Xenopus tropicalis: one gene and its partners. The protein of the gene in region 3 interacts with the protein of the main gene of each other region in a pairwise test. Links are inferred from orthologs where the notes say so. Each region holds a gene or a part of one and is shown on either strand. Other genes may lie near its edges. The genes, in order: lrrc8e, map2k5, lnx2, scly, c7h10orf88, mylip and ptcd3.

Region 1 (4,748 bases), on a different chromosome or scaffold from region 3:
ACAAAGGAGCAGCACAAAGCACACCTGCGGGGGCATGTACGTGAGCAAAGGCATTTGGGAGAATGGAGGGGGGTAGGTATCCCACTGAGCCCTTCTTACTGCAGAATGCAGAATATTCCGGACTGTTTTGCTCTCCAACGTATGGGCAAAAAAATAATTTGCCCTATATGATGCCCCTGCCACTCATCTTGCCCCGGTGTCTCAGGGAGCTCAGTACCTGAGTGCCCAAAGCGACACAAGAGCTGGGATCCAGCACCCATGAAGTCAATATGAACCTATTAAGGGGGGTAAAGCCCCAAAAATATAATTGTTTCAAGAGTCAGAACCAGCAGTGTATGAAAGGGATGACCATATACAGCTTTCGGTAGAAATGACATTTACAAATAACGTCAAAACCAGTAAAAAGGTGCAATGACTGTATATAGGGCAAGTTGCTTAGAATTACACTTTTTTTTAATTATATTTTTGGATTTACATGGCCTTTAAAAATCCCAGTCAGCAATATAAGGGATAGAAGTCTGTGCAGCCAATAAGGAATCGGGGGTGTGGCTGGGATGGCTGATAATGAAATGTATGCAGGGTGAGGGGTAACGTTCATTTCATATTAATTACCATATACCCCGGGCAGTGGGGCAGATCAGCCAGGCAGTGGGATGTATGGGCCGGGGCGATGGGCATTACTGGCACCGATTACACTGAGGGCGGGTTATGGAATTAAAGCCAATAAATTAGATTTAGCTTGCAATCAGGTGACAGGAGCAATAGGGCACTTTATAACCACTTACTGTAGGGAGCGGGCTACAGGGGCAACAAGGCAACTGGGTCATGGGGCTACTGGTGTTATTACTACTATTAGATGTTTAGGGGGGCAGGTAGCTCACAGTAGCACCCAGAATCAGGGTTCAATAACTCACTATGGGCAAAAAGTCAGGGTTACTAGAATAAGGTGCTATAGCAGCAGGTAGGCCCCTGAAACCTATAGGGCCCCCAGGCAGTGTCGCTATAATAACCTGATACAGGGGGCAATAAGGCACCGGGGCAGTGTCGCTATAATAACCCGATACAGGGGGCAATAAGGCCCCCAGGCAGTGTCGCTATAATAACCCGATACAGGGGGCAATAAGGCCCCCAGGCAGTGTCGCTATAATAACCTGATACAGGGGGGCAATAAGGCACCGGGGCAGTGTCGCTATAATAACCTGATACAGGGGGCAATGTCGCTATAATAACCTGATACAGGGGGCAATAAAGCACCGGGGCAGTGTCGCTATAATAACCTGATACAGGGGGCAATAAGGCACCGGGGCAGTGTCGCTATAATAACCCGATACAGGGGGCAATAAGGCCCTGGGGCAGTGTTGCTATAATAACCCGATACAGGGGGCAATAAGGCACCAGGGCAGTGTGGCTATAATAACCCAATACAGGGGGCAATAAGGCCCCGGGGCAGTGTTGTTATAATAACCTGATACAGGGGGGCAATAAGGCACCGGGCAGTGTCGCTATAATAACCCGATACAGGGGGCAATAAGGCACCAGGGCAGTGTCGTTATAATAACCTGATACAGGGGGGCAATAAGGCACTGAGCAGTGTCACTATAATAACCTGATACAGGGGGCAATAAGGCACCGGGGCAGTGTCGCTATAATAACCCGATACAGGGGGCAATAAGGCACCAAGATGTTAATAGGAGTTACAGTAAGAAGGTTCCAGATCCCTATTAGAGGAGAGTAGGTAGGAGAGCACTTATCCCATAGAGATGTATCTGTTACACCCATAAAGCACCAGCTAGAACTGAGCGATGGGAAACCTGCCAACTGCTAAAGGCTGAACTGCATCTCTCAGCTGGGAGCTGAATATGTTGAGAGTCATGGTCCAACAATATACTCAATGCAGACAGATCCCAGGTAGGTAGGTAGGTAGATATGTAGGTAGGTGGGTGGGTAGGTAGATATGTAGGTAGGTGGGTGGGTGGGTGGGTAGGTAGGTAGATATGTAGGTAGGTGGGTGGGTAGGTAGATAGATAAGTAGGTGGGTAGGTAGATATGTAGGTAGGTAAGTGGGTAGGTAGATATGTAGGTAGGTAAGTGGGTGGGTGGGTAGGTAGATATGTAGGTAGGTGGGTGGGTAGGTAGATAGATAAGTAGGTAGGTAGGTGGGTAGGTAGATATGTAGGTAGGTAGGTAGGTAGGTAAGTGGGTGGGTGGGTGGGTAGATAGATAAGTAGGTAGGTAGGTAGGTGGGTAGGTAGATAAGTAGGTAGGTAGGTGGGTAGGTAGATAAGTAGGTAGGTAGGTGGGTAGGTAGATAAGTAGGTAGGTAGGTGGGTAGGTAGATAAGTAGGTAGGTAGGTGGGTAGATAGATAAGTAGGTAGGTAGGTGGGTAGGTAGATAAGTAGGTAGGTAGGTGGGTAGGTAGATAAGTAGGTAGGTAGGTGGGTAGGTAGATAAGTAGGTAGGTAGGTGGGTAGGTAGATAAGTAGGTAGGTAGGTGGGTAGGTAGATAAGTAGGTAGGTAGGTGGGTAGGTAGATAAGTAGGTAGGTAGGTGGGTAGGTAGATAAGTAGGTAGGTAGGTGGGTAGATAGATAAGTAGGTAGGTAGGTGGGTAGATAGATAAGTAGGTAGGTAGGTGGGTAGATAGATAAGTAGGTAGGTAGGTGGGTAGGTAGATAAGTAGGTAGGTAGGTGGGTAGATAGATAAGTAGGTAGGTAGGTGGGTAGGTAGATAAGTAGGTAGGTAGGTGGGTAGGTAGGACACCGCTCCTGAGTTAACGCTTCTTTTTATAAGAACCCAAATAATCAGGCAGCGCCTTGTCGCTACAAGCCTGGGAGCAAAGCGATTCTGTAGGAGACGCAGGGCAGGGGCTCGGCCGAGTATTCCGGGGCCCCATAACTCCAACCCCCCATGCCCGAGGGATGTACCAATATAGCGCTGGGTGCCAATGCGGAGCAGGAATCGCACTCACAGACAACTCGCCAACTTTCCCTGCGCTTCCCGAGTGCCCGGAGCGGCTGCGGATTGGGGGGGCAGTATCCCTATTACTGGGAGAGATTGGCTCTCACTCCCCCACTCATTCCACACACGGGGCGCACTTACCGGCCGGGGATCAGCTGCAGGGAGGCGGCGGCGGCGGCTGCTGGGTTACCCAGTCTGACATCCCTCCGGGCGGAACGGCTCCTGTGGGCTCCGGGCACAGGGCTCCCAGCTGGGACAGTAGTACCGGTACTGCCTGCCGGGTCCGGGCTGGGGATGGGGGGTGGGAGGGGTGAGCGGGGCGGTAAGGGGAGGGGGCGGGGCCAGCCAAACAGCCACCTATAGAGAGTCATTAGAGTAGGAGGGAGATGCAGCTGTGGGACTGGGGCAGGGAGGGAGGGGGCAGATGTGGAGGCTTGGGGGGGCAATAAGCTGATATATTCTAGTATAGTCTGTATATAGACATGGTGCAGAGTGCAAAGTTATCAATGTGAGTGGGGAAAGTCAGGTGCGACTGTCTGGGAAGTCTGAGCAACTCTGTCGCTGTAGCCCATTTGTACAAGGAAAACATTGGCATAGATATTGATGTATCCCAAGGGAGGGCACAAGTGTATCACAGGGAGGGCACAAGTGTATCCCAGGGGAGGGCACAAGTGTATCACAGAGAGGGCACAAGTGTATCCCAGGGGAGGGCACAAGTGTATCACAGGGAGGGCACAAGTGTATCCCAGGGGAGGGCACAAGTGTATCACAGGGAGGGCACAAGTGTATCACAGGGGAGGGCACAAGTGTATCACAGAGAGGGCACAAGTGTATCCCAGGGGAGGGCACAAGTGTATCACAGGGAGGGCACAAGTGTATCACAGGGGAGGGCACAAGTGTATCACAGAGAGGGCACAAGTGTATCCCAGGGGAGGGCACAAGTGTATCCCAGGGGAGGGCACAAGTGTATCACAGGGGAGGGCACAAGTGTATCACAGGGAGGGCACAAGTGTATCACAGGGGAGGGCACAAGTGTATCACAGGGAGGGCACAAGTGTATCACAGGGAGGGCACAAGTGTATCACAGGGGAGGGCACAAGTGTATCACAGGGGAGGGCACAAGTGTATCACAGGGAGGGCACAAGTGTATCACAGGGAGGGCACAAGTGTATCACAGGGAGGGCACAAGTGTATCACAGGGAGGGCACAAGTGTATCACAGGGAGGGCACAAGTGTATCCCAAGGGAGGGCACAAGTGTATCCCAAGGGAGGGCACAAGTGTATCACAGGGAGGGCACAAGTGTATCCCAAGGGAGGGCACAAGATCATCCCAAGGGAGGGCAGAATTGTATCACAGGGGAGTAATTAAGCCCCCTTACCTTTATGGTAATGACACACTTGCTTTTAAAAAGCTGCAAACCAGTGCAGAAGCACCCAAATCCACCCCACATTAAGGTCAAATAAGGTGACATTTTTGGGCCACCCAAAGATATGGGACCCACACGGAGTGGTGCATTCCAGGCTGCGATTGTGTGACAAGGATAGTGTACAATTCCCATGCAACCCAATGGGAGTGCAGTGTTTTTGAGCCTGACACAGAGGTGGTACCTGTAAGCCCCCTGTCTGCCATTAACTGTCACCTGCTCAGCAAGTCAGTGAGGAGCCGCCACTTTGTTTGCCAGTGCTGCACCCCATCCTCAGGCTGCTCCCCAACACACAGTGCCAACCTGCCAGTGCACACATGGGCTGATTTTGACCCAAAAATATTATACTAGTGGAGGAAAACAGA
Region 2 (4,881 bases), on a different chromosome or scaffold from region 3:
CAGAACTTTTGGCTTTTAAACAGTACAAGTCAAATAATGACTTCCTTCATTTCAACTTACATTTCAAAAATGACTTATCGCTTTGTCAGCAGCAGTTCAGTAATACTTGCTGTCATGACTATAAATTCCTGGTGTTCATCAGCAAGCTTTATCCACTACCAAGCATGCTTCACAATCTAAAGCTCTACTATTCTCTCCTTAAACACTTCACCACACAGCAGTATGTCCAGTAAAGAGCAAGGTGTACTCCCATAGAAGGTGAACAATATTTACTTCCAAACTGCCTGCAAAATCAAAACGATCCCTTTCAGTACGCCCAGATATCCTGCTGCCCCCTACTCTTGCCCACCAACTGCCCCTCATACTGCCATGTCCCACCACTTACCTTATTGTAACACTAACCTAATAACTGTTCTAGCATTCTGCTGTCCTGCTTCCCTTTCTCCCAGCAATACATTGCTGAGACTGTCAAACCCTCACTTCAACCTACCTGTAACCCATTTTCCCATCCACTCTGCCCCCAGACGCCATGTATGTTTGAAGTTGCTTAGAATTACATTATGCAATATTTTTATTTGGGTGGACATGGTCTTTAAAGGATCAGTTAAATTCTTTGTCCAAGGGTCCAATGAACCAAAATGTATCCAAGCATTAGAGGGCTTGGGTAACTCACACTCAAAGGCAGTGGTTGTTGCATCTGGGAGAACCTGACCAATCACATCCTAAAAAGAATAGAAAATACAGAATTAGTGAAACTACACAAGAATAATAAGCTGAAAATCCCAAACATTTGGGGATAAAGGTGGCAAAAAGATGAAAAGAGGCGGTCCAATATAAGTTTGAATGGGTAGGGCCAAAAAAGCTGAAGCACATGAAAAAATATATTTTCTACCCAGTTTTAGCTCTACCTGTATTTCAACACATAAAGAATAATGTTTATTTTTGTATATGCTTTAAAACAGATTTGCGTAGCCCAACCCACTGCTTCAGTCTATGTCATTAGGAAATATGATCAAAAACACACAGGTAAATGTGTCTGCCCATGAATACGCCAGAGGGCTTTACTACCCTTTCTCCCTTAAGGCATTGCTTCTCATAGGCCCTGGTGAGGCTCACTCAACTTTAAAATTCCTTCTACACCTAATGCTCATTCACAGAGTGGCAGAATCCAAAACAAGTGGTGTAGGCTGCAGCACAGACTAATATAGTATGAGGAAAATAGGGTGGGGGAATAAAAATAATGCACTTACTTGGGCGTCCAAATTTGACCACATGCCACAATTATTATTTTCTTTGTTCCTATGTTTTAAAGTTCATTGAATAATATTTAACAGTGCATCAACATTTGGTAATATGCTGTTTTTTTTTTTAAAGCACTGGTACCTGCAGTAGTGATTTACTATTTTTAAAATTAACTAAACAGGCAATCTGGTATGGGGTGCTCAATCTTTTGCATTAAAATGTACCTTATTTAAAAAAAAAAAAAAAAAAAAACTAAATCCCAAACTATAAAATCATTTGAAAAGTGTTTAAATATTACAACAACAGAGAATGTTCTGCCTAGCTGTGCCTGAGATATTGATTGGTACATGACCTTGGTATTACTCAGATAATTATATCCTGCCAGTGGCTTGGCTAGAAATGAAATGCCCTAGAGCAGTGTTTCTTAATTTTCTCTCAAGGGACCCGTATCAAGTCTCAGAGTCAGCTTTTTGTACAGCAACAAATCAGGGGGCATCCAGTTACCCCATGGCCAAGTGCCTTTGGGAACAAAACAAGCAGGGCCACTGGAGACAATGAACTTTTAAATATAATTTTCAATATTGTTTACTTTGAATTTTGTGGCCCTTGTTGCTGTTGATTATCTGCTCCCTGAGTGGAGGGTCTGGGGTTGGTGTACCTGGACCATCCTTTCTACAAGGGGAGTGTTCTCTAGTGTGGGTTCCTGTGCCTCGCTTCATTTCAGTTGATTGGTCAAGTCAGATTTTTGACCCAAAAGAACCGGCTTAGAATTACTTGCACCTTATTTAATTACCACTGCCTGTTGTAGCAGAACATTACACCTTACTAAAGCAGGTCATTGAGACCCACTGGTAATGTGTGTGCCTGTGTGGGCAACTCCATTAGCACAAACATTCCCACCTAGAAGTTTACATCTCTGGGCGCTTCAGTAGCAGGTTAGCTATCTGGGCTGCCACTATAACTGCATGCAGTGTTTGGAGTTTTTCTTTCTGAGTTGTCTTTAAAGAAATAAAATAAGTTTTTTTAGTTATTCAATAAGCCAAGTAATACAAGTGCATATATACATGTGTGACAGACACACCTTGGGGCACATTTACTAATCCACAAATTCGAATCACGAATGGGAAAAAATCGTATTAGAAACGATAATATCGTATTGGTGATCCGAAAGTCACTAAATTTTCGTACCAAACAATTGTAAACAGCGGTAAAACCTTTCCGATTTTTTCGTGCAAACGTCCGAAAAAGTCGTGCGGCGTCCGAAAAAGTTGTGCGCCTTGCGAAAAAGTCGTGCGGACCCCCGAAAAAATCGGCGAAAATACGCTCGGAGTGTTCGCATGAACGCTCGAGCGTTCGTGCTTTTGTAAATGTGCCCCCTTGTGTCTCAACCCTTTCTCCTTGTAGATTGTAAGCTCTTTTGGGCAGGGCCCTCTGCACCTCTTGTATCGGTTATTGATTGCTTTATATGTTACTCTGTATGTCCAATGTATGAAACCCACTTATTGTACAGCGCTGCGGAATATGTTGGCACTTTATGTTAATAATAATAGTTAGTGCCAGTTTTAAACATCCCTAATTCCATTATAAAAATAAAAGAAAAATATTTTTCCAGGTGTTATTAAAGAAGTGGGGTACCTATAGTATTAAAATTGTATTAAAATGGTGAACGGCGCCCCATTCCCAGAAATATTTTGAGGGCTGTGCGTGACGTCATTGTGACAGAGGTTTTGTGTTGCTTGTGGCCCTCTCTTACCAAGATGTCCCGGAACAGCAACTGAGTGGCCGGCTGTACTGTCCAGTCAACGGCGCCCCCATCAGGGATTCGTATCCGAATAACCAGAGCCTGGCTATCCATGTCCAGAGGCAGGCCGAAGCCAAATAACAGCATCCCGGGCCGTAGCCGGGTTACATCATTTGGGACGCAGGAGTACCTAGCCTAGGAACCAAACACCATAGCGCCGGAAGGTACGGGAAGAGGAAGGCAATGGACAAGACGCCATATTAGAATAGGGCAAAGTGACGTTTTATGACTAGCGATCGCCATGTTTGTTTAGGGGAAAAAAAGTAGTGAACTGTATATCAAAAATAACTTCATAGCTGTTGAGATGATAATACGTTGAAGTGTTTAGTGGCCAATTGTAATTGTTAAATATGTTAGAATTTGCTTTTTATCAAGGGGTGTACCGTGTACTTTAGCGCTGACAGCTGAATTGAGGTCCTTACACTGATCCCCGCTAACCAGGGCGCAATATCTTAGCGTTTGTATATTTTTTCTGAATCTTTTTTTATTTTTATTTTTTGCCACCTCGCCAAGTGAGAATCTGAAGCTGCTGCATAAAGGCTAATAATAATAAAATGTTTGCCACACCAACATATTCTATACATATATATTTATTTAAAGAATTAGTGCAGAATAAGTAAATATCATGAGTGAACTCATTTAGGGCATTCTTAGTTCCTGGTGTTATTGGCCTCCAATAATAATGTATTTATATCTTTATTTATAAAGCTACTTATGTATGCAGTGCTGAATGAAGACATTAAACCTGTAATAATATTCCTGAACTGGATGTGGAAATCACTAGTGTCCCAAAAAAATAAAACTTCCAATCAGAGCCACCATCAAAACTTTGGGGCCCCATACAAGTTATTTATATGGGCCCCCCCCCCCCCATAAACACAAGCATGCAGTTCCAGAATATTTGGCCATGCCCCTTGTGTGCACTACACAAACAATGTGTCTCTTTAAGCATAGCTCCCAACTGTATGGTTTCGCGTTGACAATTTAACCCACAGTCCTGGATTCTTACTGAAACGTCCCTATTTTTCATTTGATCCCCTGCACTGAACGCTAAAAAAAAGATACAAATTTAAATAAAAAGTAGCATTTGGCAAAGAGCCCAGAAAGTTAAACAAGCTTCACCTGCATTTAGATACAAATGTTTCTCAAACTTAATTAAAAAGTAGCTTTTGGCAGAGAGCCCAGAAAATTAAGGCTAATGCCACAAGGGGGTATTATCGGCAAGCCAAAAAACGCTTGCCGAGAATACGCCTCGCTACTGTAAATTCAGCCTATCTTGTGCCTGCACCCAAATGAATGGAATACACTTGGGTGCAGGCACATGTAGCCGATATCCACCAAAAAACGCGAGACTTCATATTTTCGGTGGATATCAGCTACATGTGCCTGCACCCGAGCGTATTCCATTCATTTGGGTGCAGGTACAGGTAGGGGCATTTTCGAGCGTATGGAGCGTATTCTCAGCAAGCATTTTTTGGCTTGCCGAAAATACGCTCCATATGCTATGTGTGGCATTAGCCTAACAAGCCACACCTGCACTGAGATCCATTGTAACTAATAAACTAAACAGGTCTCTTGGGCGAACTGAGACTCAAAGCTGCTGTGTAGCCACAGGGGCAGCCATTCAGGCTGGAAAAAAGGAGAAAACGCACAGGTTACATAGCAGATAACAGATAAGACACCATTGTATTCTACAGGGTTTATCTGTTAGCTGCTATATAACCTGTGCCTTTTCTTCTTTTGAATGGCTACACACCAGGGTTTATATAAACTCTAGTAATGTTTCTGAAGCAAACACAAAACTTTTACCAGTGCAGGGCAGCAGTACATTATAGTTT
Region 3 (4,186 bases):
AAAGCATGGCAGCTCCCACACATATCAATACATACATATGGGTAAATAAATATGGTAAGAATAACTCAGTCCTATGGTGAGAATAACTCAGTCCTACAGAACATTACAGTAAATGAAGACACTAAAAGCACTTTAAAAGAGAAAATCACCCTGTATTTATTATATGAATTCCAGTAAGTGCAGTAAGAAGGAGCATAACAGCAGCTCTGTGCCCCCATGTGCTATACATGACATGTTTTTATGGATTCATTCACTCATGAACTGATGGTTCTAATGCCCCCTGACACAAAAGGCAGTTCAGTTATTTAGTGGAGCTAAGTGACAAGAATCACAGTACAGGTAATGGATCCTTTATCTGGAATACTCGGAATCAGAGGAAGGCCGTCTCCCATAGAGTCCACTTTAATCAAATCATTCTGATTTTCAAAAATGATTTCCTTTGGGTTTATTTCATGTTAAATGATTTTATCAGACTTAAGGTATGGAGATCCAAATTACAGAGAGATCCCTTATCTGGAAAACCTCTGGTCCCAAGCATTCTTCATAATATATTCTATACCTGTACATTATAGGGCGTATTTATGTTTGCAGTGGGCTACTTGGGCTTTCCCCTGCAGTGAGTTGTGCATAAAGCCACTTTCATTAAAGGTTCTTGCATAAAAATGAGCTCCTTGCACTTCCGTAGAGTTGGGCCTGGCGCTGCTCAGTCTTTCCTGCCTTCTGTTCTGAATCAGGCGCTACTGCCCCGAGGCACAGGGGAGCCCTGGAGCTACTGCCACCTCCTGACCATGCCCTGTATCAATAGGAGCCTAAAGAATTGGGTGCAGACGTCACTCGCATGGCAAACACCATAAATGACACCAGACCCCCCCATATGTAATAAAAGCCACTAAGTTTGCCCAGGAACAGTAAAACATAACAACCAATAAGATGTTTGCTTTTAAACAGGTGATCAGTAACACTACCTGCTGATTGGTTGCTATGGGTTACTGCTCCTGGACAAACTTAGTGCCTTTTATTACATCACCCTCATAGAATCTATAGTGCTGACATAAAAGTACTATTGTGCCAACACTGCATATTCTACAGTTCCAGGTTTCCTTTTAATACATAACGTGTGGCGCGGCAAGACTAAACGTACCCACTGAAAGGGTTAAAGTGCAAAAAGTATTTTGCCCATTATTTACCCACAAGGAACATATTTCATTACAGCTATTGCAAGGCTGAGGCAGCTCCCCCTACCAAATGAGGCCGAGGGCTGAGGGAACGCTTCACGCAAGAGCGAGGGAGTATGAAGAGAGATAATTGAGGTGCTGGGAGAAATACGCCACTCAGTAGAAATACATATTAACAGTGCACTCCAACTGATAGAGCTTGCTAATGTGGCCTTTAAAAATAGAAAAAGGACCAGAGTGCCGGAGTCCATACAGGAACAGTGAACAGCAGAAAAATAAAATCCATTTCAGGATAAATATTTTAAAAAGAAACTATTACTCATTTTCATACTTTCAGTTGCAATGGCAGATAAAGCTAACGTCAAGGGACGTCAACATCTATCTTTGTGGGGCTTTTTTTCTGTAGCATCTTCCCCTTGGACTGAGCTATCTCCTTGGCCAACAAGGACAAACCCTTCTGGTTTCTTAAATGGGGACTGTAACACTACAGGAGGGCTATGGGTAAAGAGCTGCAGAATAAAAATAAAGAATGATAAATAAACATTTATAGGCACAAACCTGGGGAGGCCCAGCCACATTACCCATGATGGAGACCAACTGGCATCATATTCATTCTCACTAACGGTGCTCATTTCCTCTTTGCCTGGTGTCTGCTCCTCAATCACCTCCACCTCGATGGCTTTCAGAGAGACCACTGAGGAGGTAGCGCTGGCTTTCAGCATGGCCACTGCTTCGCTGTGACTGAGGTTGGTCAGATCAATGCCATTGATACTCAGCAGCACATCCCCTTAACAAGAAAGCAGGAGTCAATATTAAATATATAAGCAATAATGCCACCTATACGTGTAATATATGGTTCTATTATATGAACATATAGGACCTATTATCTTATAATTAAGGTACTATTTTAGAAAAAAGGAAATCACTTTTTAAAATTGAAATTATTCGATGGAGTCTGTGGGAGATGGTCTTCCAGTAATTCTTAGCATTCTGGATAATGGATCCCATACCTCTATATGAAATGAATATGTATAGATGCACAGCACAACTATATGAGGGACCCCGGCTGTAGGCTTAATGGGTAGAACAACAGGGGAGCAGAGTCCATTGTAGCAGGGGCTGTAAGCACTAGTGATCCTCCCCTTCCCCAGGCCCATGCAGCTAAATGAATATGAGCAGGGATGATGGAGCAGGGGGAACCTTGAGTCGTGTGTCAGAAAGGGAGCCCCCATATATTTTTTTGTTGGGTATCCTGGGACACTTGGGGTTGTAAAATCTTTAGCAACAATATACTGTGCCGCCAAGCTCTGGCCTGGTGTTGTAGTGTCCCTGTATCAGTGTGTAATGGCTGGTAATGCTGCCCGCGCACCTCGCTTGATTCTGCTGTCCCTTGCAAGACACCCGTGGGGTTGGACGCTCGTCACAAAGATTGGCAGCTCTCCGCTTTTGCTGCCTCTTCCCCCTGCCACCGTCATGCCCAGTGATTCCTGGGGCTCTTTCTTCACCGTAATATGCTTTTCTTGGCATTTAACACATTGTGCCAGATCCTTGGGAAAGCAAAGGCGTTTGCAATTAGAATGCGGTTTTATTTATACAGGGACATCTCTTATGCCCTATGCTGCTTTCATTAAATTCTATTTGTAGAAATGTTGCTAAGCAATAGCCTTGGGAGCTGATACTCTAGTGAAAACTTAAAAACAAGAAAAAATACATTCTAAAGAGGAGACCTCAGCCTCCCATTGTAACATCAGTACTGGCCCATATCATCTGCCATATACAACAGCCTATACAGCCTAGTGCAGGATCATTATTGTGAGTAATATAAATGTACACTGGGAGGTGTTTATAAAATTAGATATGCTTTCCATCCCACAATATTTCCCAAAATGGCAAGTGCTGCCATAAACACTGGAGCTCAGGGGTGCTTATTCTGTATACAGTATTTAAGATACAGTACTTACATGGCTCTACCATACGCCAGGCTTCGGTCCCATATATAAAATACAAGCCTGAGCACTGCTGGATGCACCTTGTATGCATGTCAAGTGCTGCTAAGCACCAACTGAAATGCAGGCAAGGCCTCAGAGATATTTTCTTGGGACGCCCCCCTTAAATCCATGTGAACTTGCCAGAAATGCTGTTTACACTTCAGATATAAAATACTGGGGCTACAATATTTCTACCAAAGATGTTTATCATGCAGCCCAGAGCAGCTGTAGAAGAAAGTGAAGGCCCTGTAGATACAAAGCTGCCAGATGCTATAGGATTGATGGGAGTTTGAAATTCGCAATCCTCAGGGACAGATATCTCTAAGGATGATTGTACAGGTGTTGCCATTACCTTATGTGCGCTGGGCCGGTGGTGATACACTTGCTGTGTGTGATGGTGGGGCTGGTTCATCCCCAGGTCTCTGGTTATATTCCCAGGTTGGTGCTTCCCAGGTCGAGATACAGTTAAATTCACACGCTCCCCACTGCCCTATACAGGACATAGAAAGCAAGACAAACTGAGTTACACACACACAAACACTTTATCTGTTATCTGTTGCCCTATTACTAGTTGTATCATAGCCAGTATAATACTTTAGTCAGCCACTACTGTAAGGATTAGCAGCCTTATTGCCCCCTAAGGCAAAACTCTAGTCTCCAAATTCACAGCATATTCAACTGTCATACAAAACTGAGCACCAAACACACCAGAAAGACTACTTTGTTGACTCAGAACTTTATGACTTTATTGAATCAGAAGCTGGGTGCACAGGCTTTTTTGATTTCACCCTAACCCACAAAACCCCTCAAACTCTGCCGCTGTTCAGCTAAGTAGGCTTCTGTTGTGCCTTGATGCCCATTTTGCTTGCTGTACTATGCTGTGAATGCTGTGAAACTGCTGACTTTTTGCGCACCCAACTTATATATAAAAGAAGGACAAACATAGCAACTACAGGGCTGTATGCATTTTAGCTGTGCAGAATGGGAGCTGTGAGACTGCCCCTTTATACCAAACCACACCAC
Region 4 (4,186 bases), on a different chromosome or scaffold from region 3:
TGCTGTGTGAGGTGAACATATTCCCTTTGGCATTACTCTTGGCATTTTCACTGGCTCCTGCTGCTATAATATGTCTTCGGCTGCACATTTTTTTTTATTAACTATGTATATGGCAAAGATTTTTCTATTATTGTGAACTGTTAGATTTGTGAATGCTCTACAACAACCACATTAAGTGCTGAAATAACCCAGTAACCACACCTAGGTGGATGCATATAGCTTAACTTCCTTGTATAGTCAAGTGTTTCCTTTTGATAAACAGGTGTATATCTCCTGTTTGGTATCTTTCTTTATACATTTACAGTTATTGAAATCAATATGAAGGGGAGTAGAAATATATGCAGCCATGTATCCGGAAATGCCAGTGTCCATAAATCAATATAAAGAGGAGTAGAAATATATGCAGCCATGTATCCGGAAATGCCAGTGTCCATAAATTAATATAAAGGGGAGTAGAAATATATGCAGCCATGTATCCGGAAATGCCAGTGTCCAGTTGAAATGTGAAGCAGAACTGTGGCTCACCTGTCCCCCCGGTCTGAATGACACGCTGCTCCAATGCTAGCCTGAAGGTACTGACAGTGAGAGAGCCACTCGTGCCCTAAACAGAAAGACATATGAGCAGTGGTTAGTAGCATGGAAGAGCAAGAAAATCAGCAAAGGATTTTAAGTTTCCAGCTTAATTTGATTTAATTGGCCTGTTACTGACCTCAAAAGCTGTCTGCACTCTGCCACGCCCAATATCTGTAACTTTACCCATTGGAATTTAACCGACTGCTCTTAGCACTTTTCTGCAAACTTCCTCAACCCCCTCTAGCACTGAACCCTTGTTTCCCACAATCAAGCTCTGAAACCTCTTTAAGTAAACTTACTCATCCTAGCTCTCTGTCCTCTCTTTCTGCAATGAGAAATGTATTCACACACCAATGGTTCTTCCCTAACTAATCACACACATCTCTCTTTTCACACCAGCTGCTGTACTTTATCCAAACGCTGTATTTTTTTTGCTTTCCTGTCCTCTGAAAGTGAAAGTTCAAAGTTGTAGGGACATTTTCACCTCTTATTGGTCTAGGAACTGTACTGAATTCCTTTACTCTACTGCAGACTATGATTATTATATTTAAACATGATATGACAGAATAATTATCAGGAAAACAATCATCTCAGAAATCTGATGTAGATGAGAGAGGTACCAAGCATAGCAGGTTTCAGAAGTGACACGTTGCAGGTGTTGGGAAGGCGTTCGGCTCCAGGGAACCTAGAGTTTAATCGGATTCGGTCTTCAAACACAGCCTGTAAGCGTAGACACAACTAGTTTATAATATTAAGGTCAACGTTTAAACTCTGCTCGGTATATAACATTTACACTAAGCTTTACATTGTTGGATAGGATCTGCTTCCAATCAGCCTCAAGAGCGTTAAGGTCGCCATACACGGGCCGATTAAAGCTGGCAACAGATGTCAGAAGCATATCGGCCCCTATGGGAACCTCAGACGGGCCTGCCCAACCAATATCTGGTCAAAAGTAACCATGTCGATAGGGCAAGTTTAAAAATTCCTTTGGGCCTAGGAGAACATTGGCTCGTTGTTCCTTGCCCCAAAGGCTTATATCGCAGTCAGCTCTTGGCCTGATATCAGATCATTTATCATGAGCCCAAACCATCCATATACATGAGACCTTTAAATGAAGCTAGGTTTTATTAACACATTTAAACTGCTCCACAGTGCTATAGTGGTGACCCCTACACCACTCTGTGTGATACTTGGTGTTGCAGATGGTGTTGGCAGGCTTTTGTGCAGCTGCTTGCCTATAAAAAAAGCCATACTCCAACAAATTTTGGTTAAATAGTGCATATAAGGTGTAATGAGTGTGCAGTACAGTTCCCCCTTGTGGCAGTGTTACATAGCAGTAGTATTTAGTATATTGCATTTAAATTACAGCCATATTTTATGTTTTCCAGGGGACAGATAAAAGTAAAATGCAGAAAAACATAAAATGCACCAAAATGCAAAATCAGAGTTTGCCTGTAAAATTAGAGTAAATTGCAAAAAGATGACTAAATCTTCCCCAAAAACATTCACATGAAATAAACATGGAAACTGGGCCAAAATTATGATGTAAAATGTAGGAAAAATCTAGGGAATGCTCTGTTTGAAATGCATTAAACATGAAGCGACTGCAAAAAACCATAAAATCTAACAAAACAAAAAATGAAGGGATGTAACATTGTGGTTTAGCTGTATGTGTCTGAATCGTTTCTGCTACTGTTGCTGCGATCATATCCTTGCAGTTCTATGTAATGCATTTTACATTACTCAGGGTTCACTGGAAGTGGTATCATACATTTATCTAGGTCACTGCTGTGTCAAGAAGAAAAAGCCACATAGGTCACATGAAGGAATCAGGTAAGGTAACTGTTCACTGTATAATAAAGAATACCCCACCCCGAGCAAGTATATATCCAGGATTTAGGCCCCCTCGTTATACAGAGAGGCAGCTAATGCTCGACTAATGAATGTAAAGCAGCCTTCTATGCAGGCGACTACAATTCTGATTCTGAGTTATTGTTTCTGGGAAAACAGGTTAGGATGATGCTACACATACAGTATTCCAAACACATGCAACTATGCTGTCACATCATAGGGTGAAGTTTAAACTGAATATCCATTTGCAAGCATAGCATGTGCACAACTAGTGTTCCAACAATCTGAGAATTTCTTCATTAGTATGAATCTGATTTTTCTCACCTCCAGTCTTTCCTCCAGATAATCCCGTATGCGTCTCATGTGAGCCTCATAAACAGCACAATGTAAGAACACAAGCTCTGCAGCCTACAGGGACCAAAGTGTGTTCGATCAGTCAAAGGTATTATGCAACAACTATACACAAACACATATATTAATTTTGTGTGGCACCCCCCAACATACACTCAGTTTTGTGCCTTTATGGTTGACGAAGACCCAACTAAAAGCAACGTATCCGAAAATATCAATGTCTTGCAGCCTTACCTTTCCAAGCCCAGCTATCATTGGTGTGTTCTCTGTTCTGAAGAAAAAAACAAACAATGAGTGAGATACAGGTCAACATAAGCACACTGTCAAAAAGCTGAAAGCCAAGCCTGGAGGTTCTATGGAGATTGTTAGAGCAAACTATGTTGGGTAACAATCTATTTATTTTAGCGCAGTGCAGAAACAGGGATCTGATTATTCCATTTACCCTGGGCGGAAGTTGCGCTCCTGTCCTCCTCCGTAAAGCATGGGAAGCAAAGAAGAATGCTGCCCAAGGCCTCTAACATACAGGGCTCCAATACGTGGCCCGTAAAACTGCAATAACAAACGGAAGATGAAACATGAAATATTCCCTCTCACACAAAAATGCCAACCTTTCTGTACCCAACAGCTCCTGAAGCACAGCAGCTATTTGCACCGTAGTTGCTATGATGAGTAAACAGGAAACTTCATCTGTAGTTTTAACCCTATATTGTTAAGAGAATAGCACATTGTCTGCAATGACATATTAGTATGACTATATAAGTGAGACCATTGGGTGTATTCTTGTGCACTATAATTAACTTGTTTACCCTGAGATGCAATAAATAACATAAATGGAGACTAAGAGAGACCAAGGAAAGCATCATTATTTTGGGTATAAGATCTCACCAAAGACCCGGAACAGCAAAAGGACTATTCAAAGTAAAATGTATAATTATTGTCCAATTGTCTAAATACCTTGTGTCCAACAATAGTGAGATAATTCACTCCCAGTTCTTGCACATCCACTTCCACCTTTCCCAAGGCTTGGGCAGCATCGGTGTGCAGTAGGATCTTGGGTAGCCCTTGTGCAGATCGCTCTTTTGACATGGAAGCCAGGCACTGGGACAGCTCACCCACAGGCTGCAGAAAGCAAGTAAGTAAATTGTATTAATATAAACAACAAATGGAGATAACACTTTAGGGCTTCAATCTCCACATATTATAAAAGACAAAATATTTGCCCAAGAGTAACAAAACATACCAACCAAAAAGATGTTTCCTGTTTTGTTTTTTATAAAGGTTTTTATATTTGCATTTGTAACATAAAAACAACAATAAACAATATAACACTGGTTCTATAAACATATTTCATTTTTGTGTCTGACATCCAATACACCTATATCAGTTGGTGGTGACCGATTTGGGATGGTGT
Region 5 (3,125 bases), on a different chromosome or scaffold from region 3:
ATTACACATTTGTTGGAGCACCCATATTTCCTATCTGGTCTGTGTAAGGGATGGGTACATTTTAGCTGCTCTTTCACCAAAATCCCAATAGATGCAGTAGCCAAGTTCTGCCTCAACAAAGGTGACTGTAGTTCAATTTCAGAACAAACTTCTTGGCATTTACCGACTGCTATAAGTCTCATACTACCCAGTCCACTGTGTTAAAGTCCATGTGCCCTCAAATCTGATTTTAGGCCACAAATTTAGCCCTTTGGCAGGTAGCAGCCAATCTATGCACAGGATAGTTCCCGCCTAATTCCTTTTCAGTGTGCTTCCCTGACACCAGTTCCTCTAGGCTTGTGTGGCCACCCTGAGAAGAGCAGGTTGGGTGTGGGTATATAAATTAGTTTGGGGTGAAATAGGGTGGGTTTGGTTTGGTGCGGGTCAGTGAAATGTTGACCTACACAACAATGCAAGAAATAACAATATTTCTTTAAAACAAAAGGCAAAAAGTATCTTCAGCACATGCCCTATTCACTGAAAAGGGTATACTGTCCCACATTTTAAATTCTATACCCTGTGTCTAAGATATATTACATTACCCTCATTTAATTACCTCCACGTCATCTCATAGAAACTCCCTATTGTCTGTAAGTTTAATTGAGGTTTTGGGAATCTAATGAACTGTCAAATTGCCAGGTATTGTATCTGAGAAAAAGTCTACAACATTCTCTCCACCTACAATCCAAAACCAGAACTGACGAGTGCTTATTTATTTCAAACACATGGGGGGAATTCACAAAATTGTTGGTAAGTACACAGTTCTTAAAGTGTTAGTCGCCAAATTGTAAAAATGTAAGCACAACATATTCACAGAAGGTATCATCTAGTTTTATGGATGGCATAATGCCACCAAATTTGCCACACGTGTTGTATACATGGTAAACAATGGTCTTTATTGCACTGTGAAACTGTTGCGCTCCAAAAACTTTATACAGACTTAAGCCAAATTAACATGTTTGTTATGGGGCAGACATTTTGGTGTAAAAAAATGTCTGTAAAAATGTTGTCTGTACAACTGATTCTCAAAAAGGTCTCAATTGGAAAACTGATCTGTAAATAAATCGGCGCACAAACATTTTATACAACATTTTTCTTTACAGACATTTTTGTGAATAGTTTTAAGGGCTCTGGCACACGGGGAGATTAGTCGCCCGCGGCAAAACTGCCTGTTCACGGGCGACTAATCTCCCCGAGTTGCCTACCCCTGCCATCCCACCGGCGAACATGTAAGTCGCCGGCGGGATGGCAGACGCGGCGGGGCGATTTCAGGAAATCGCCGAAAAAGACTCCCATGTTCGCCGGTGGGATGGCAGGGGTAGGCAACTCGGGGAGATTAGTCGTCCGCGAACAGGGAGTTCTGCCGTGGGCGACTAATCTCCCCGTGTGCCAGAGCCCTAAATTGTGCACAGCAGACTGGTTTAATTCAGTTAAGGGCTCTGGCACATGAGGAGATTTGTCGCCTGCGTTTTTTCCCCTCGACAAGTCGCCACGACAATACACACGAAGAGATTTCATGCGAGTTGAGCTCCAGGCGATCTGCTACCCATGGTACACTCAACAGTTACCCCTCCCACATGTTTACTCAAGTCGCTCAGAAAAGGGTCTGTGTGCGATTTGAAACAGCAGGCGACTTGAAGTAGCCTCGTATGTTTTGACGCTGGCGATTTCCATTGGTTTAGCATTGGCGTCTTGTCGCCAAATCGCTCTTTTAAAAATCGCCGGCGACAAATCTCCTCGTGTGCCAGAGCCCTTACACAGTGCTGCAGTCTCAGTAGAACAGTAGGCTTTGTGAAGTGTTAAACAATCTTTTCACTGCCCTTAGACATCACCTGTGAGCCGACTTCTAACTTACATGTATCTGCTTGGCCCCTTCTCTACCCCAGCAAATGCCTGTTACTCACCTAGCTGGCACACAGGGCTCCTCTTTGTCTTCACGTTGCTTAGATGTATGAAGGTTTTTGTCTAAACACAAGCTGTGCAAAAGTGGCATCAAAGACTCATGGCTTGTCCCACCTAAGCCGCTCAATGGATTCTGCAGGAGTGAGGACACTGCTGATGTAACATCGCAGGCTGGGAGCCCCAACTTTTTTGGGGCTCTGTGTTCTTGAAGCACTGGAAGTTCTGGGATTTGAGTATGCGTGATTTCCGTACTAGTACTGGGCAACTGACTATGTACCAAGTTGGAAAGCTTGGGCTCGGCACCCTTTGTATTTCTCCCCGCACCTTGTTCATAGCCGCTCAACATCTGCAGAAAGTGTGCGCCAAATGGACTCTGGTGCTTAAAGAAAAAAAACATCAATTATTAAGGTTTATTAAGGTGATAAACTTAACAGTAAGGGATTTATTTGCTACTCCTCTCACAATACCTTGGCATTAACTGTTGGGGATTTGGCAAAATCACTCTGGCAAAAGGATCCAGCTCTGGGGTATAGAGAGCAATCCAATACATATACATGTGTGTTTATATATCTAGATATAGATATGTATTACATTTCTTTGCACAAAACATAAAAGACTGCACAATAAACAAAAATGAGATTCTGAGCAACTTTCCAAAGTTAATTAAACATTATCTAGGGTTTTGAAGTCATTTATAAATGTAATTGCTATTACAAGCATAATTTGTTGTAACTCTTAAACAACATAGCTAGTTAATTCTCCACTAGGAAAGAACCTTAATTGTGAGATCTAAAAATAAATGGCCCAACACATAGGGGCACATTTACAAAAGCACGAACGCTCGGAGCGTACATTCAAACGCTCCGAGTGTATTTTTGGCGAATTTTTTGGGCGTCCGCACGACTTTTTCGTACACAGCACAACTTTTTTGAACGCCGCACGACTTTTTCGTACACTTGCGCGAAAAAATTGGAAAGGTTTTACTGCTGTTTACAATGGTTCGGTACAAAAATTTTGTGACTTTCGTATCGCCAATACGATATTATCGTGACTAATACGATTTTTTCGTAAGCATTTTCGGGATATTTGCTATCTTCAGAAATTTTCGTTTCCAATCCGAATTTTTCCCATTCGAATTCGTGGATTAGTAAATCTGCCCCATACTGTGTTGAACCTGTGGGCCA
Region 6 (4,929 bases), on a different chromosome or scaffold from region 3:
CTGATAAAAGATATGAAGCTGGCCAGCCTTCTTTACTTTGGAACAAATACTAGATAAAGCAGTAATGGTGGGTTTGTGCAATACAGTAAGTGGAAAACAGTAACAGAAGGGGAAAACATCCTAAGGGCTCTGGCACACGGGGAGATTAGTCGCCCGCGACAAATCTCCCTGTTCGCGGGCGACTAATCTCCCAGAGTTGCCATCCCACCGGCGAAAATGTAAGTCGCCAGTGGGATGGCACACGCGGTGGCGTGATTTCGGCAAATCACCGAAAATGCCTCGCGAGACAACTTTATCGATTTGCCGAAATCGCCTTCGCAGCGTGTACCATCCCACCGGCGACTTACATGTTCGCCGGTGGGATGGTAGTTTGGGGAGATTAGTCACCCGTGACAAGGGAGATTTGTCGCGGGCAACTAATCTCCCCGTGTGCCAGAGCCCTAAACTATACGGGTAAGAACCCACAGAGCGAGTTATTCACCCACTGGCAACAAAGGAAGTCGCCAGTGGAAAGCCTGTCACATTGCTTCATTTTCCTAAGTCACGCAAAGTTGCCTGCAGGAGGAAACTTCACGCCACTTCAGATTACCGAAGTGATGTGAAGGGCTTTCCGCGACTTCTATTGTTGCCAGTGAAAAGCAAGTAACTTGCACCGTGGGTTCTTACCCCAAAGGCAGTTGCACATGTGGAGATTAGTCGTCCAGGATAAATCTTTGCTATTGCGGGCAACTAATCTCCTTTAAAATGCCATCCCACCGGCAAGAATGTAAATCGCCAGTGGGATGACATATGCATCGCTTTGGTTCCCCAAAGTCATCTGAAGTTTCCTTGGGAGGCAACTTCGGGAAACAGAAGCGAAGCATATTTTCATCCCAATGGCGATTTACATTCTTGACGGTGGGATGGCATTACAGGGAGATTAGTCGCTCATGGTAACAAAGATTTATTGCGGTCAACTAATCTCCCCGTGTGCCACTGCCCTAAGAGTGAAGACACATGGAGCTACAGTAGCAGCTACTTGTCACAGCTACAAAAATAGACAATGCTGATCATTTACTGATAATTGTCTCTGTGTGTGTTTTAGCAGAGGCAATTTTTAGTACTGTCTATGGCAGGGGATTTAGGGCATTTAGTAGCTGCTACTAAGTAGTTCTGTGTGTCTTCACCCTTAGGGCCATGACAGACGTGGAGATAAGTCGCCGCGCGTCAAATCTCCCCGAAAATGCCATCCCACCGGCTAGAATGTAAATCGCCGGTGGGATGGCATATGCGGCGCCAAAATCGCTGAAGTATCCTCAAAAGGCGCAGCAACTAATCTCCCCATCTGTCACGGCCCTTATATGTACAGCACAAATTATTTTTAGTTTAATGTTGTATTCCCTTACTGAATAGAAAGTTCTTTCTATCACAACCTAAATTCTCCTTGTTGTGCTAAAACATGGGTCACGATTCTGCACAAACCATCCTAGAATAAAAGCTTTGTACCTAGATGATATACTACAGTCTGCAAAGGTTGATATTTACCTAAAACAAAAGATCCTTGGGAATAGTTACAGGGCTGCATGTTGAAAAGAGGTTTAAAATTGTTTACCAAGAATTGCAAAATAGTTTATATTTACATAGTAGAGGGTTTTGAAGCCAAATGTATATATGTATTTGCACGGACACCCATATACAAAAATGAGGAATGGTTTTCTCTTTTCTAAAGGCAATTTTATGAACTACACCTGATGTTGTGAATATAAATGTGTTAAAAAAAAAAAAAAAATGATCTTAAGTAACCTTATCCGAGAAAGCTCATTTAGATTCATTCAGTGACAAGAGCCAGGAATACATTTAAAGAGAAAATACACCGCCTTTTTTTTATATAAGCTCATTCAATGTGCATAAACACTATCTGAACTTACACAAATAAATATACTTTTTTTTTTTTGTTTAATACACATAACTGATTACGGACTATGATACTTGGACTAAACATTTCCCAGCAAATCTTTGCAATGTAATGCAACCCCCACTTCATCTTGTTTCACTGTAAAGGTATGGATTCTGGGACTTGGAAGTCCCTCTGCTTTCCACAGTGGGTGCTGCACAGAATCTCTGGAAAGCAGAGAGTCTTCAAGCTTTTTAGAGGAATGGGGAACTCATTTCTGGGAACCAGGATAGGCAATCATGTTTTCCTTTGGAATCAGTTAAATCTCTGTAAAAAAAATATACATTTATATTTATTTGTGAAACTTCAGGAAATGTTATGTACATTTTCTACATAAGCCCAACAACACAATACACACACCTAAGCAACATGCTGCACACTGAGGTGCAGGGTGGTATTTACAAGTAGAGGGACATTCTTGCATCAGTAATGGCGCAGACCTTGCACTACACCACATCTTGTTTCCTTATTTCTTCCGTTACCCACATATGCACAAAGCTCACCTCTTCCTCATAGATTTATACCACAATAAATCAACACATCTCGGTGTCACTTATAACAATAATCGCAAATGTTTCCTAACAGGTAACTGCTAACAAAGTTAATGAGCCATTGCAGTCAGCTGTCAGCACCACATTTACCTTTCTACAGAGCTTCACAAACCAAGCATGCAAACCCCACCAGGTTCAGCTGTGAATACATAAAAAACCATTTAGATACTTTATATTGCTGGCCAGTCTTTTATAATAAACAGAATAGAAAGCTGGAGCCCAACAGCATCAGACTGAAAGTTACTGCTATACATTGGGAGTCCCATTTGGCACAGGACACAGGGCCAGGTGAATGTATGTAAGTAGCCAGGTGGTATGCGTACTCTTCTCTCCTACTTAGCTGGTGTGTTTGGGTGAATACAAATGAGACAAGCTAGCCCAGACGTTTGGCACAGGGCTGATAGCCCAAGGCTAGAGAAGCGTAGGCCTGCTAACTAGGAGCACCAGGGTGCTGTTATTCTGCACAGAGGTAAGTGCTGGGGCGCAAAGCTCCATAGGACAAACAAGTATTAGAAGTGGAATGAGAGGCAGCCTCAGAGCACTGACGAATGGGAAACTTGCCTCACTGTGGATGATCCTACATACAAGCACCCATGGCTCCCACAAGGGTCACGTCTCGAACCCAATTACCTGATTGAGACAGTCTTCTCCATTCGCCTTCGCATCCACTTCTACCTCCATAACCACCGCATCCGGCCTCGTCACATAGCACAGCATGGCAGTACGGGGGGGATGCCAGGATCCTTCTGCTTCACTGAAGCCTAACAGACAGCCTCCCGTGCTGTCTCTCCCGCTCCTAAATTACCGACGACCCTGTCTCCTGTATGCACCCAACTGTATGTGCATGTATAAAAAGCGCGTAGGAGGGCGCTTGCTTCCAGCACCATCAGCACAAGGATATCACTAGTCTGATAATAACCCTCCCACTGCCTGTAACTTACTTATGCCCTCCTCCTCACCAAGGCCCGCCCCCGCACGCTTATTGGCTCTCTGGCCGCTGGAATACTGTAACCGGAGCCTGGAGCTTGCGTTTAGAAAGGACCTTCGGCGGTGAGGGGCTGGCATGGGGTTACAGCATGTACTGTCTCGCTTCTGTACAAGCACAGACAGTCTGCTGGCTACTGAGTGCTCTTTACATGTGCAGCTTGCCAGCTTTTCCGTTTCTTGTTATTCTTCTTCTTAATTTGTTCTTCATTTTCGAAAAGTAATAAATTATCATCATAATCTAAAATATGGTTGTTATCAGTCTGATACCACGATCGATGGTCCTTGTTTTTGATCCCATGTTTGAAAATGGTCTGACATCGCAAAGATTAAAAATAACTTAAAAATCACACAGCATAGAGACCCATTGTGTGGAACCCTGCCGATATTTACCTTTTGTTTATATGTACTGGGACTGCTGGGAGTTTCACTAACTAGGTCTGACATTCACAACAATTTAGTACTTTTTAGAGGGGAAAATAAAGAGAAGTAATATCAAGTAACAATTTAACCAGATAGCATTTTATATTGCAAGCCACAGGTTAAAAGAGGCAGAAGATTGACGCAGATACATAACCTGTTTTTAAATGCCAGTCAGAGCCCAGATCCTTATGTTCTACTGTACTGTATAACATCCCAATGGTACTTGTCAGTGACATCCTGAGAGGGAGGGGCAACAGCACTGACATCACTAAAAGTGGAGGGGTTTCTTGAGGCATCTGACCTGCCACCCACCTGAACCAGAGCAAGCAAACCCTATCAGAGACTTGAACCTGGGCATCACTAGCAGAAGAGGAGCATAATGAACGCCAACTAAAAAATTGCTTAGAATAGGCCATTTTATAACATACTAAAAGTTAAAGGAGAAGGAAAGGCTAAGTCACTTGGGGGTGCCAAAATGTTAAGCACCCCCAAGTGACTTTAATTGCTTACGTTGTACCCCGGGCTGGTGCCCCTGTTAGGAGAAAACAGCACCAGCCCGGGGTACCTGGAGCGATGCGCTTCCTCCTTCCTTCTTCGTTTTGCTGCAACTAACACAATAGGCGCATGCGCAGTAGAGTGAAAAGCCGACTTCTCTGTTAAAGTTCCACTATTCACTCTACTGCGCATGCGCGTGCGAGCGATACAGGATGGAGGAAGCGCTGCAGATACCCCGGGCTGGTGCTTCAACTTTTGCATATTTTCTGTGACTTTTTCGTACAAAATCGCATTGTCGGGCCGAGTACGAAAGTTTTGGATTTATTCAAGCTACAGTATTGTGATTTTCCTTGGGCGAAGTTGGAGCTGCAGAGTGCCATTGAGTCCTATGGGAGGCTTCGAAAATCATGCACTGAAGGTTCAAAGTCAGAAAGGTTTTCCTGCATTTTACGATCATTCAGATACGAAAAAATTTAACTTTTTGGCCATTATACAATCATATACAATTTTTCCGTATTTTCAAATGTATTTTATACGGTTTTT
Region 7 (3,302 bases), on a different chromosome or scaffold from region 3:
AGACTTTATATCCAGAGCGGTGTCACCAAAGGCTGCCTGAAGCTAAGTGTGGGAGGGAGGAAGGGGAGGAGTTATATCACATGAGCTATTGAGATACGAAGTCCAATTTAAAACTGCAAAATAAAGAAGCATGAAGGCTCAGGGTTAGTGCAAGATAGAGGATACGGGGGCCTGAGCAACACTGCAGGGTCCTCCAGGTAACACTGTCATGGATTCCCAGACAGGAACATGTTCAGGTCTCACCTCTGGTGGCTGTATGTCTCTGGCCATCAAGTTCAACACTTCCTCCACCAATTCAACTTTGTTACTGTGTCCGATCTGTTTTATATCTGATGAAAGAAAGATCACATCATAATCATGTACGGCTCAGGCTCCCGAACTGTAAGAAAGCCACGCCCTTGAGGAGCTCCAAACGACCGATCAGGGTAACATTTGGGAATGGATTCTGACTTTCTCTTCTGGATGCTCACTGTGTGCTCATCATGGCAAATAAACCACAGTGACCAAGAGTGTTTGTACTTACCTTTCCAGATCTGAGGAATCAAGTCCAAGCGATTGTCCATGTCAAGTGCCTGCAGAAGGTCCAGCATGCCTCTGGAGTTTGGGTAATACAGCTAGAAAGGAACATGTTATCATTACTAACAAAAGAGGATTTGAGGCAATTTTATTCAAAATGGTGAGCGGTACTAGTCATAACATGGACCTACCGAGGGGATAAGCTCTCGGTACCACTTCAGGATGATATCGATGCTCTCCATCATGCACAGGAGGTTAAAGAACCTGCCACTGTAAAACAGAATGAGTGTTAGAAGCATCATTGTTGCACTAAGCAGGGAGCGCACCGGGTGAGCAGCAGTACAGTCTGCACCAAGCTCACAAAGCACAATGGGAGATGCTATTAAAGAAGCCAGGAAAGCCCGCTGAATGCCAGAAAAAAATCCCTGTGGGCCTGGTCCTGCTGGCTTCCCTCCCACCAACTTGTCCTGCCTGCAGCGGAAGTGGAAGGCCTGTGCTGGATTGATCAGTGGCCGGGGGGCTGTTAGCCACCAATGGTGGTGGCCCCGAGTACACATAGATATAAACTGTAGCCTTTTAGCAAGTAGCCGCCATACAATGCTAAAAAATCCACTAATGCAATTAGACCACTGGAGCTTCTCAGGAAAAGAACCTGCACCTGGTAGACACTAATCAGTCCTATTTTTACCTAATGGGCTATTAAGCGGAACAGACAAGGGCCAAAATAACTGGCTGACTCTGCACATCTATCTATCTAACTATGGATATTGGTACTTTATAGCTACGGGCATCTTACAGATTATGCACAACCTGGGGACATACAGACAATGCAACTCACTAGTATGTGCTCTGCAGGTAGAAGTCTCCCATTAGCCCTCTGTTATCAGCAGTCTGTTGCAGTGTGTGCAGCCGGTAGGCCAGCTCAATGTCCTTCAGGTCCAAACACTGAATTTAAAAAAAACAAACAAAAGGGTCACTTAATTTTCACTGCTCTGCTCTTTTCTATGCATCTACCAGCCACAACACAGTAATTATACCCTACTCCACAGCGTGCAAGGAAATTATTATGTGTATGCCCAGCAATAAGCCTTCCTGCCCCCTCTCATGCCCCTCGTGCCACCTTACTAAAGTGGATATTGCTCAGTAACAGTATTTCTCACCCTATGGTTATATCAGCACCCACAATCATTCATACAAGGCGTCAATGCTACTCCAGAAAAGCAACCAGCCTGGGCAACCTGTCCGACTCTGTAAGGAACTATGATAACCACATAATGTGACTAATTGTGCCTTATCTCTACTTACCACTCTCATCGCATTTGTGAAAAAATACACTGGAAAGAAAAAAAGAGAAACATAGCATTGGTGACCAGGAATGTACAGTAAGTGCAGGGGTTAAATGCACCAATCAATGGATAGGAAAGATACAGTGGGTATTCCCAAGGATTGCAGGGAGCCATTTCAATTGGGCCCCCTACTGCTGGGGACAAGGTCGGCAGAACACTGGGAAAAAACCTGGGGGGCTCTACGGGCAGTGCCAGCCCAGCTGGCTCCCCCCGCACCCTGGCAGTCCAGAACTATGTACTCCTGTGGGGGGGAGAGCTTGTGAATGAGGTGTGGGGGCCACCAGGCAGCAGCCAACGCTGGCTGGGGATCATAGTTTATTAAAACACATAGTAAGAAAGTTGCCTACATGAGCTACAGACATTGTATTCAGGGCTCTGGAGTCGGAACATATCAGACTCCACAGCTCTAAATCGTATTGGTGGCATTCTGACACAGTCAACTATAAGGCTGAAGACACACAGAGCTACATGTCATGGCTACAAATATAGGCACTGCTGATAATTTACTGATAATTGTCTGTGTTTTAGCAGAGGCAATTCTCAGTACTGTCTATGGCCAGGGCCGGATTTCCAAACTGGCCGCCCCCGGTCGCAACCCCACCCCCCTGGAGTGCGCATGCGCGGAAGGCCACACTTGCATACGGAGCAGTGGGGAGACGTTCCTATTGCTCCGTATGGGAACAAAAAGATTTGGGTGCAGCGGGGCGCCCCCAGATTTGTGCTGCCCTAGGCCCAGGCCTTTGTGGCCTCTCCACAAATCCGGGCCTGTCTATGGGCAGGGACTGATGGGAAAAATGTATAATCTGTACAGTGCTGTCCTACGTATATTAATAATAACGGGGCCAATCAGAAGCCACACTGGGCTTATAGGAATGCAGTTAGTTAGTGTAGTACCAAGAGAGGCACAGGGGTTCCATACAATGGGGAAATATCAGGTCACATTACAGTAGACACAAAAGGGTCAGTATTTACCATCATCCGGGTCCCGCAGGGTAAAGCTTCTGCCTTCGATCTCATCCAGCACCTCAGAAAGGATTTCAGTCTGGCCCCTTGGAGATAAAGCTGAAAAACAACAAAGGCCGGTAGATTGTAGGTGTGTGGCAGATCTGTGCCCATTATTTCCCTTCTCTCCTATACAAACCAGTGCATGTAGATGGTCTCACAGCTGAGGGATACTACACACAGCACCTTGCTCAGGGGCAATAAAAAAAACGAAGACCAACTGTCTCGGGATAGCACTCTCTACATCATACTATAAGGTAACTCATACATGTAATAGCTTTCATGTAGTCTGGCCTGGGCAGGAGCTACTGCCCCTTTCATGGCCCTTGGATAGTTATTAGAATATTTATTATGATTTGTATTTATTACAAGTACATACAGTCACAAGATTGCTTATAATTAAATACAACTTTGGCAATCTATACATGTAATAAACTC

The links.
Region 1: the proteins of lnx2 (region 3) and lrrc8e interact in a two-hybrid assay, tested with the Homo sapiens proteins (3 studies listed by BioGRID and IntAct). The link is inferred for Xenopus tropicalis from reciprocal best matches to the Homo sapiens genes LNX2 and LRRC8E.
Region 2: the proteins of lnx2 (region 3) and map2k5 interact in binary tests that used the Homo sapiens proteins (3 or more experiments, as listed by UniProt). The link is inferred for Xenopus tropicalis from reciprocal best matches to the Homo sapiens genes LNX2 and MAP2K5.
Region 4: the proteins of lnx2 (region 3) and scly interact in binary tests that used the Homo sapiens proteins (3 or more experiments, as listed by UniProt). The link is inferred for Xenopus tropicalis from reciprocal best matches to the Homo sapiens genes LNX2 and SCLY.
Region 5: the proteins of lnx2 (region 3) and c7h10orf88 interact in binary tests that used the Homo sapiens proteins (3 or more experiments, as listed by UniProt). The link is inferred for Xenopus tropicalis from reciprocal best matches to the Homo sapiens genes LNX2 and C10orf88.
Region 6: the proteins of lnx2 (region 3) and mylip interact in binary tests that used the Homo sapiens proteins (3 or more experiments, as listed by UniProt). The link is inferred for Xenopus tropicalis from reciprocal best matches to the Homo sapiens genes LNX2 and MYLIP.
Region 7: the proteins of lnx2 (region 3) and ptcd3 interact in binary tests that used the Homo sapiens proteins (3 or more experiments, as listed by UniProt). The link is inferred for Xenopus tropicalis from reciprocal best matches to the Homo sapiens genes LNX2 and PTCD3.

Annotation. Positions count from the first base shown.
Region 1 is NC_030679.2:134,127,237-134,131,984, forward strand, and holds the start of lrrc8e (volume-regulated anion channel subunit LRRC8E), read right to left. Parts: upstream 3,246-4,748; 5' UTR 3,101-3,245; intron 1-3,100. UniProt on the Homo sapiens protein: Non-essential component of the volume-regulated anion channel (VRAC, also named VSOAC channel), an anion channel required to maintain a constant cell volume in response to extracellular or intracellular osmotic changes.
Region 2 is NC_030679.2:117,515,844-117,520,724, reverse strand, and holds the start of map2k5 (dual specificity mitogen-activated protein kinase kinase 5), read right to left. Parts: upstream 3,191-4,881; 5' UTR 3,131-3,190; coding exon 2,996-3,130; intron 723-2,995; coding exon 674-722; intron 1-673. UniProt on the Homo sapiens protein: Acts as a scaffold for the formation of a ternary MAP3K2/MAP3K3-MAP3K5-MAPK7 signaling complex.
Region 3 is NC_030678.2:155,380,653-155,384,838, reverse strand, and holds part of lnx2 (ligand of Numb protein X 2), read right to left. Parts: intron 3,654-4,186; coding exon 3,516-3,653; intron 2,723-3,515; coding exon 2,545-2,722; intron 1,963-2,544; coding exon 1,734-1,962; intron 1-1,733.
Region 4 is NC_030681.2:126,384,335-126,388,520, forward strand, and holds part of scly (selenocysteine lyase), read right to left. Parts: intron 3,895-4,186; coding exon 3,730-3,894; intron 3,325-3,729; coding exon 3,218-3,324; intron 3,047-3,217; coding exon 3,010-3,046; intron 2,833-3,009; coding exon 2,749-2,832; intron 1,294-2,748; coding exon 1,194-1,293; intron 602-1,193; coding exon 526-601; intron 1-525. UniProt on the Homo sapiens protein: Catalyzes the decomposition of L-selenocysteine to L-alanine and elemental selenium.
Region 5 is NC_030683.2:20,239,917-20,243,041, reverse strand, and holds part of c7h10orf88 (ATPase PAAT), read right to left. Parts: intron 2,321-3,125; coding exon 1,944-2,320; intron 1-1,943. UniProt on the Homo sapiens protein: ATPase that regulates mitochondrial ABC transporters ABCB7, ABCB8/MITOSUR and ABCB10. Regulates mitochondrial ferric concentration and heme biosynthesis and plays a role in the maintenance of mitochondrial homeostasis and cell survival.
Region 6 is NC_030682.2:92,602,956-92,607,884, forward strand, and holds the start of mylip (E3 ubiquitin-protein ligase MYLIP), read right to left. Parts: upstream 3,355-4,929; 5' UTR 3,202-3,354; coding exon 3,115-3,201; intron 1-3,114. UniProt on the Homo sapiens protein: E3 ubiquitin-protein ligase that mediates ubiquitination and subsequent proteasomal degradation of myosin regulatory light chain (MRLC), LDLR, VLDLR and LRP8. Activity depends on E2 enzymes of the UBE2D family.
Region 7 is NC_030677.2:17,803,650-17,806,951, reverse strand, and holds part of ptcd3 (pentatricopeptide repeat-containing protein 3, mitochondrial precursor), read right to left. Parts: intron 2,925-3,302; coding exon 2,835-2,924; intron 1,851-2,834; coding exon 1,822-1,850; intron 1,462-1,821; coding exon 1,355-1,461; intron 787-1,354; coding exon 708-786; intron 615-707; coding exon 524-614; intron 330-523; coding exon 244-329; intron 43-243; coding exon 1-42. UniProt on the Homo sapiens protein: Mitochondrial RNA-binding protein that has a role in mitochondrial translation.